2 linked regions of the Macaca mulatta genome follow. The protein of the gene in region 1 interacts with the protein of each later gene in a biochemical or structural test. Links are inferred from orthologs where the notes say so. Each region holds a gene or a part of one and is shown on either strand. Other genes may lie near its edges.

Evidence for each region. The genes of interacting proteins can lie anywhere in the genome.
Region 2: the proteins of PEX19 (region 1) and ABCD2 form a complex in vitro, tested with the Homo sapiens proteins (3 studies listed by BioGRID and IntAct, with this or other methods). The link is inferred for Macaca mulatta from reciprocal best matches to the Homo sapiens genes PEX19 and ABCD2.

Annotation. Positions count from the first base shown.
Region 1 is NC_133406.1:106,602,223-106,606,478, reverse strand, and holds the start of PEX19 (peroxisomal biogenesis factor 19), read right to left. Parts: upstream 2,806-4,256; 5' UTR 2,789-2,805; coding exon 2,719-2,788; intron 2,520-2,718; exon of another isoform or gene 2,029-2,519; intron 1,305-2,028; coding exon 1,195-1,304; intron 775-1,194; coding exon 609-774; intron 1-608. UniProt on the Homo sapiens protein: Necessary for early peroxisomal biogenesis. Acts both as a cytosolic chaperone and as an import receptor for peroxisomal membrane proteins (PMPs).
Region 2 is NC_133416.1:46,484,171-46,488,197, reverse strand, and holds the start of ABCD2 (ATP-binding cassette sub-family D member 2), read left to right. Parts: upstream 1-1,226; 5' UTR 1,227-1,414; coding exon 1,415-2,353; intron 2,354-3,868; coding exon 3,869-4,027.

The DNA of each region.
Region 1 (4,256 bases):
CCTGATAGTCTTTTCATACATCTATTTAATACACGGACTCTATGTCAGTTTATTCTCCATGATGATACCCACAATAACACTGTGACCTTTCAAATGGTCAGTTTTGAATAATCTTTTCTATTACTTTCTAACCTATCTCGCCCCTTTTCATTAAGAGGGATTTTCGGCCGGGCGCGGTGGCTCAAGCCTGTAATCCCAGCACTTTGGGAGGCCGAGGCGGGTGGATCACGAGGTCAAGAGATCGAGACTATCCTGGCTAACATGGTGAAACCCCGTCTCTACTAAAAATACAAAAAACTAGCCGGGCGTGGTGGCGGGCGCCTGTAGTCTCAGCTACTTGGGAGGCTGAGGCGGGAGAATGGCGTGAACCCGGGAGGCGGAGCTTGCAGTGAGCCGAGATCACGCCACTGCACTCCAGCCTGGGAGACACAGCGAGACTCCGTCTCAAAAAAAAAAGAGGGATTTCCACCCCTTCTCTCATTGCCTTTACCCATTCCATGGCTGTGACATCATGATTACTATCAACTTCACTAAGAATTCTGGTGTTTTCAGGCAACAAAGACTTAAGAATCTGTTCAGATATTTCCATGTATCTAAGGTCTCCTCACCCACTCTCCCCGCAGCCTCCGAGAGCTTTTGGAACTGCTCCACCAGGTGGGGCTCTTCCTCAGCCAACTCCTTCATTGCCTTCTCGAACTCTGCAGTGGCTTGAGAAGCCAGTTCACTGTCGAATAGTTCCTGGAAAAACTTCTCTTGGGAAGCGAAGAGGGCATCCTGCGGGGGAAGGGTGGCTGAAATGCATCTCTTACTTAGAACTACACTGCACCTGGCCTCTGATAGAAGCCACAGGCAGTAGCTATGGGAAATGCACTTCCCTCCTACCCACTTCCACTGGACACTCTAACTACTGCTCCTAATGAGAATAGCAAAAAAGGTATCTAGTCTTTGAAAGAGGGTATGGGATGGCATACCAATCCAACCATTTAAACCTACTATTTTTTCAAGGAACTCTGAGATTCCTCCACTCAACCTCAAGTCCTTATTTCACAAGGACTGAGGCTGGCAAGAGCACTCACCAATGTGAGGCCAAGGTACCCTCCCCCATTCCCCTCTGGCCCATAGGGGCCTGCCCAACCTCTGCTCAGAGCTGCATGCCCATCCCCTCCCTATCCCTTCAGGGGGTGGAATTTATACTTTGGCAGTGTCTCCTGGCGATCTCTTCTGGGGCCCCGAAGCATCAGGGGCCGTGGTGGTAGAAGGGGGTGCTGGGGAGGGTTTGGCTTTATCGAAATCATCAAGAGCACCTTCAGAGACAAGAGACATGGTGTGTGTGTTGGCGACAGATGAGGATGCAAGCAAGGCTGGGTGGTTTCTGGGCAAAGCATTAGGAATATGATTTTTCAAATTGCCAACTTTCCTCAATTTTCCGCCTTGAGGCCCCCACCTCCCCAGACCACCCTCAATGAGCCTCCTACTTCCTTCCAGATTACCTAATTTATTGTGAGCAAAGGCAAGAAATCCCTGACGGTGGAACAAGTATCCATCTCAGAGCTGGGAGGAGAGGATTAAAAATTTCTGCAGAGACATCTCCATCTATAGTGTCTCCCTTGCCACAACCTAATGATTCCCTAGAAATCCCATACAAATAAATACCCAACAGGAGTAGAGAACACAGATGTCCTCATCCCTCTGAACTCACTCTGGAGCTCTAAAAGGAATAACTTGGTGAGAAGGCACATGACATCCCACCCAGCTTCCTGTTGGTACTGGTACCAGCACAGACTGAGGGACCACATACTACATTCCATGGTAAGGCATTAAACTATCTTCTCTTATTCTCCAGTTTAGTGCTCTCCCACAACCTCCTAGAGCTCCTTTTGGTCTGATCTTTGCAGATAACCGTAGGCTAATTTACAGTCACTTGGCACTCCTCAGCGTTTCTGTTCATTCTTCTGCCTGCCCACATCTCTGTGATTGAGCAAGAGATTACAAATTCACCTCTGCCCTGAAAAGCCTGTGTCCTCACCACCATTCTGCTTGCCAGGCCCAGGGAGAGAGCACTGGCCCCACTCTGGGCAGGAAGCCAACAGGGGAGTGGACAGTAATGCTAAGAAAACATCCACCGTCTTTCAGGAGGGTGAACTGCTTTCCCCTGAAATCGCCACATCCTCAGTTTCTCAAAATAAGGGAAAGGAGTCCGCTTGAGCTACTAACAAGATGAAAGAACTGTTAAGGGGCCTAACGAGAGAAAGAGAAAAGGACTACGAGGAAAAAAGTGTCTTTCATGTCAAGGAAGGCAGGACGAGGCGCAGCAGCATGGGCCACGAGCTTGCTAGGAGTTAATGTAAGCAATCAGTGAGTGCGTGGTTCGCTACCCAACAAGAACCAAATGCTGCTGCTGCTGCTGCTGAAGTCGGACTTTAAGAACTTAGTAACCTAAAGAAAGAGGAGTTTGGAGAGGTATCATGAAACGCCGTCCTGCGGAAACATCCACAATCTGGACCACTGGGGGACCCCAGGTGAGTTCCCCAGCTCCAGTCGCGGAGGTGGGGCAGGATGACCCAGAGATTTTTGGGGGGCTCGCGGTCAGACTCTCCGCCCCCATTTAACCTTTGGAGATCCTCTCCCGCCCTGTCCCTAATATCTCAGGTTCACTTAACGCCCGGAATGGGTCCTCACAACTGCCCTCTTCGGGCCTTTCCCACTATGGGCTCTTACTTTCCAGAAGCTCCTCCAATTCCCTGTCTGCTTCTGCCCCGACACCACAGTCTTCCTCAGCGGCCGCCATCTTGCTACCTCCGACTTGCCGTAGGAGGCGGGACCCCTCGGCGCCGCCACGCCCTCCACCCCTTCGTTCCTGCCCTCTTCTGCCTCGGGCAACCAATGGTATTGTTGGCCAGTGCGGAACCGCCATTTTTAAAGGGCCAGGAAGCTTTGAGTTTCTGTTTTGGGTATTTTTCCCCTTTCGCCTGTGAAACACAGAATTAAGGATAAGATAGTGTTATTTTCTGCCTGGTTTTAGAGGCCCGGACTCCTTTCAACTTCCCAAATTACCTGGCGAAGCTCTTTCATTATTTCTTCCTGAGCTATGAGTAGGCTAGATTGAGACAAACTGCCTACAAATAACCAGAATCTATACATATATGATTGATATGACAATTATGGTACATAACATACTACTTTCTCTCACTTCTTTTGTTGAGACGGAGTCTCGCTCTGTCGCCTAGGCTGGAATGCAGTGGCGCTATCTTGGCTCACTGCAGCCTTGGCCTCCTGGGTTCAAGCGATTCTCCTGCCTCAGCCTCCCGTGTAGCTGGGATTACAGGCATGCACCACCACATCCGGCTAATTTTTGTATTTTTAGTAGAGACGGGGTTTTACCTTGTTGGCCAGTCTGGGTAGCCAGGCTGGTCTCGAACTACTGACCTCAGGTGATCCACCCACCTCAGCCTCCCAAAGTGCTGGGATTACAGGCGTGAGCCACTGCGCCCGGCTTCACTTCATTATTTCATTCAAATGTTATCTTCTCTGAAACACTTTACTTGGCCATTCCTTTTCTTCTTAACACTGAACACTATCTGACATATTATCTACCGTGCTTGTTTATTCTCCGCTTCCCACCGTGCAGAATTTAAACACTATGAAGGCGAAGATTTTCGTCTGTTGTCTTCGCTGCTGTAAAGCCCAACTCCTAGGCTAGGGTTTAAAACTTAGTAGGCACTCATTGGCCACTCTTTGCTCTTGCAGTCCCTAATCAGGCACATCTGTCTGCCCAATCTAGTGGCATCTCTCATTTCCTATTCTCTATTAGAACTGTTTGATTAAAGGACACAGGGCCAGGAACTTAGAACTCAATGTTAGAAAGAGAGCATCTGGGACCTTGGACTGAGCAGGGCAATTAGAATGTAGTAGTTAGTAATAGACTTGCTTTCCCTGACCAATCTCCTTTTCTCCACACAGAACCCAACCTCCAACTGAGTGAACACCGGGGATGCTCAGATAGAGGTAACTCTAGACGTCCCTTTCCTCCTTTGGAATTGTTCTATTCAGATCTGTAAGAATGTAGCAACTGTTTCACATACAGATCTGTTTTAGCACTTGGAGAGCACCTATTATTTAGGTCTTGTTCTGGGCACAGCAAGGACAAAGAGATAAATCAGGACCACCCCCTGCTGTAAGGTAGCTAAGTGGAGGTGAGCCGCAGGTATGATGAGATATACACACAGTAAGTATGACACAAGGTAAGAATTTTAAAT
Region 2 (4,027 bases), on another chromosome or scaffold:
ATTATGGATGTGAAGAAATTTAAGACTCTTAGTTTTTATCAAATAACCAAATAGAAATAGGAAGTAGCCAGTAGATTATCTCTACAGCTAAACAAAACAAACAAAAAAGACACTTGCAAAAGACAAGGAATTCCTGAAAAATGAAGTAAGGTCCTAGAGAAGTTATTTCCATCATCCAACACCAGCTGAATTCCCAAATGGTTAAACTTTGACTATAAGTGCTACCACCCTCGAAGTAAAAACTACCTAACACATGGGAGTAGTAAAAATGAAACATTGATCTCATTTACTTAATAGTCGCCTCCTTGTAAATAATTATAAGTACATCAGATCTCCAGTTATGGGGCTGGAAGATTTTTATCATAAGGACAAGTAGGATGGAGGGGAAAAAGGGAGAATGTCTAGAGGCATAGCAAATAATTATTTTCCATAACACGGAAGACTTTTATCCTATTTATTTACAAGGGATACCCTCAATTACAACTTGTCTATTAGGTTCTGAGACCTTATGTGAAATCAGACCCCCAAAAAAGCCGGGGGTGGGGGGACGGAAAAACAGATCCAAGTGTTTGTATTTGATATTTGGCATTCTCCAGTGTCCCTCCCACTTATCACTTTCTTTTCTGATCCCTTTCAGATTCTTTCCATGCTTTTTCCATATTCATTTTATGTTGATCCTCTTGTCCCTCCTCCCTCATTTCCGTGGTTCCTTCTCCCTCCTCGTCTCGTTAAAACTCTTGGAAATCTCCCTTTCTGCTTGCTCTTGTTTGCGGTAGCTACTGAAATCTTACCGAAGCGATGTATATTCTGAAACTTCTGCGGGTTTCTAAGTGACACTGAACATGCTCAGTAGCTAGAGACGGTTTTGTTCGCTTGGAAATCTCCCTTTCTGCTTGCTCTTCTGTTTGCCGTAGCTACTGAAATCTTACCGAAGTGATGTATATTCTGAAACTTCTGCGGGTTTCTAAGTGACACTGAGCATGCTCAGTAGCTAGAGCGGTTTTTGTTCGCCAGCAGATGGCCTGATTCGACCTCTCCAAAAATAGACATTTAACTCTCTGAACTCCTGTTTAAGGAAGGATGTAATTCGTTTTGCTCTCTCCTCATTTTCAAGGTTCAAAGGGAAGCTGCTAAGATTCCAAGGTCCCACCGCCCTCACAGCCAATGAGGGGCCTGGGAGGGAGGAGCTTGGTGCAGCTGGAGCTTCTGAGAGAATTATTCCCGGTAGATGCAGCGGAGTCTGAGCTCTGCTGCATCTGTCACAGCAGAACAAAATTAAAAACAAAACAGTGGAAGAGAAACGCTGCAGACTATGGGACGCTGTAGGACTTTCTGAAACATTTGCTGGGGATTTCTGTGAAGCATGATCTTTTAAAACGAATTCTTTTGGAAGCCGGTTTGGGTAACTGGGAAAATGACACATATGCTAAATGCAGCAGCTGATCGAGTGAAATGGACCAGATCGAGTGCTGCTAAGAGGGCTGCCTGCCTGGTGGCTGCGGCATATGCTCTGAAAACCCTCTATCCCATCATTGGCAAGCGTTTAAAGCAATCTGGCCACGGGAAGAAAAAAGAAGCAGCTTACCCTGCTGCAGAGAACACAGAAATACTGCATTGCACCGAGACCGTTTGTAAAATACCTTCGCCTGGAGTGAATGCAGATTTCTTCAAACAGCTACTAGAACTTCGGAAAATTTTGTTTCCAAAACTTGTGACCACTGAAACAGGGTGGCTCTGCCTGCACTCAGTGGCTCTAATCTCAAGAACCTTTCTGTCTATCTATGTGGCTGGTCTGGATGGAAAAATCGTGAAAAGCATTGTGGAAAAGAAGCCTCGGACTTTCATCATCAAATTAATCAAGTGGCTTATGATTGCCATCCCTGCTACCTTCGTCAACAGTGCAATAAGGTACCTGGAATGCAAATTGGCTTTGGCCTTCAGAACTCGCCTAGTAGACCATGCCTATGAAACCTATTTTACAAATCAGACTTATTATAAAGTGATCAATATGGATGGGAGGCTGGCAAACCCTGACCAATCTCTTACAGAGGATATTATGATGTTCTCCCAATCTGTGGCTCACTTGTATTCTAATCTGACCAAACCTATTTTAGATGTAATCCTGACCTCCTATACACTCATTCAAACTGCTACATCCAGAGGAGCAAGCCCAACTGGGCCCACCCTATTAGCAGGACTTGTGGTATATGCCACTGCTAAAGTGTTGAAAGCCTGTTCTCCCAAATTTGGCAAACTGGTGGCAGAGGAAGCTCATAGAAAAGGCTATTTGCGGTATGTGCATTCCAGAATTATAGCCAATGTAGAAGAAATTGCCTTTTACAGAGGACATAAGGTAAGATAGAAATTAAGGTGATGGGTGAAATGTGAGACTGTTCAAGCTGCCACTGCAGTGCCAGATACCATCTGTTGTCCTGTCGATGGACCCACTTCTTTAGTGTCTTAGATTCCTCTGACATCTAAACCTGTATTAAAATACATGCTTCATTACCCCTTTTAACCGTAACCAGTTAAAGAATTATAGGGTGCAAACTTTTCTAAAGTGTCATGAGAATAAAATTTGCAACACTCTGAAAAAGCCTACTTAGCCTCAGTTACTCAAATATGGTCAGAATTATTTCTAACGTGTTTTCTTAAAACTTAAATCCCAACTTGGTAGGTGGCCCTAGAGCACCTACCAGAAGAAAATATATATTTGGAAACTAAGACTAAACATGTTTCCATTGAAATGGAAAATTTAGAATGATATTCTTTGTTGTTCCTTTGTTGTCGAAGGAGGGGGGGAACCAGGATTTCTTACAGAAGACATTTTTAACAATTTTGCATGTCTGATCAATATGGAGCATCCCCATTCCCAAGAAGCATAGGAAAGTGTCTCACAAAATGGCATTTCTACTACTCTTAGTTCATGTTCAGCACTATATTTTGACAAAATGAAAAGAGGAAGTGAAATGAAATTTTGTCCAGCTTTGAAAAAAAAAAAAGCTGAGATTAGAGAAGAAATGAGGAGTACAAAAGGAGTTTCAGAATGTTTTCAATTATTGAAGATTTTCAACATTAAGCAGATCCCTAAAACAATTAGCCCAATTATACATACTCATAGTATATGAAGGTAACTTCAGAATATGAAATAAGACAGAAATTTTAAAGGCAATGCAATCTTAATTTAAATGACTTGGTGAATAAAATAAAGTATTCTACTGTTGAAGACGGCATGTCAATCACCAAGCAGAATTATTTAATTTTTAAAGCATCAGTAATTATCAGTGTCTTTTTTAATAGCAGTAGCAACCTGAAAAAGAATATTTAAAGTAAATTTAGGACTCTTGCTCCCACTTGAAAATTACCTCATATATTGTATTATATCATATTGATTTGTGATTCTTCTTAAACTATTGAATTCAATGATATAAATTATAGTGTGTTTAGACTTCTTGCATAAAAGACAAAATCCAACAAAGTGAGTCAGTTCAAAAGTAGAGTCTATACATATATATGTCATGTGTCCATTTTCAGGTATTTTTGGTGTAATCAACAAGGACAAAGCTCTAACAATTGTTTATTCATATCTTACCTAATATCATTTAGTTTTAACATCTCATGCATAAAATTTAAATATCATAACTATAAATTACTTATATGTATTTTATACCCAACATTATGTCCACTGAGTAGCATAAACTTTTAAAAATAATACACATGTGACCAAAACTAAATAATAACTAATACTGGTATTAATCTGTATTTATTGGTTGTTAAGACACATAGATAATGCCATACTAAAAAAAAAAAAAAAAAGAATATGTATATGTCTTTAAGGAAAGTCCTCAACTCTTTTTCCTCTCTATAGGTAGAAATGAAACAACTTCAGAAAAGTTACAAAGCTTTAGTGGATCAGATGAACCTCATTTTATCCAAACGTTTGTGGTACATCATGATAGAACAATTCCTGATGAAGTATGTTTGGAGCAGTAGTGGACTAATTATGGTGGCTATACCTATTATCACT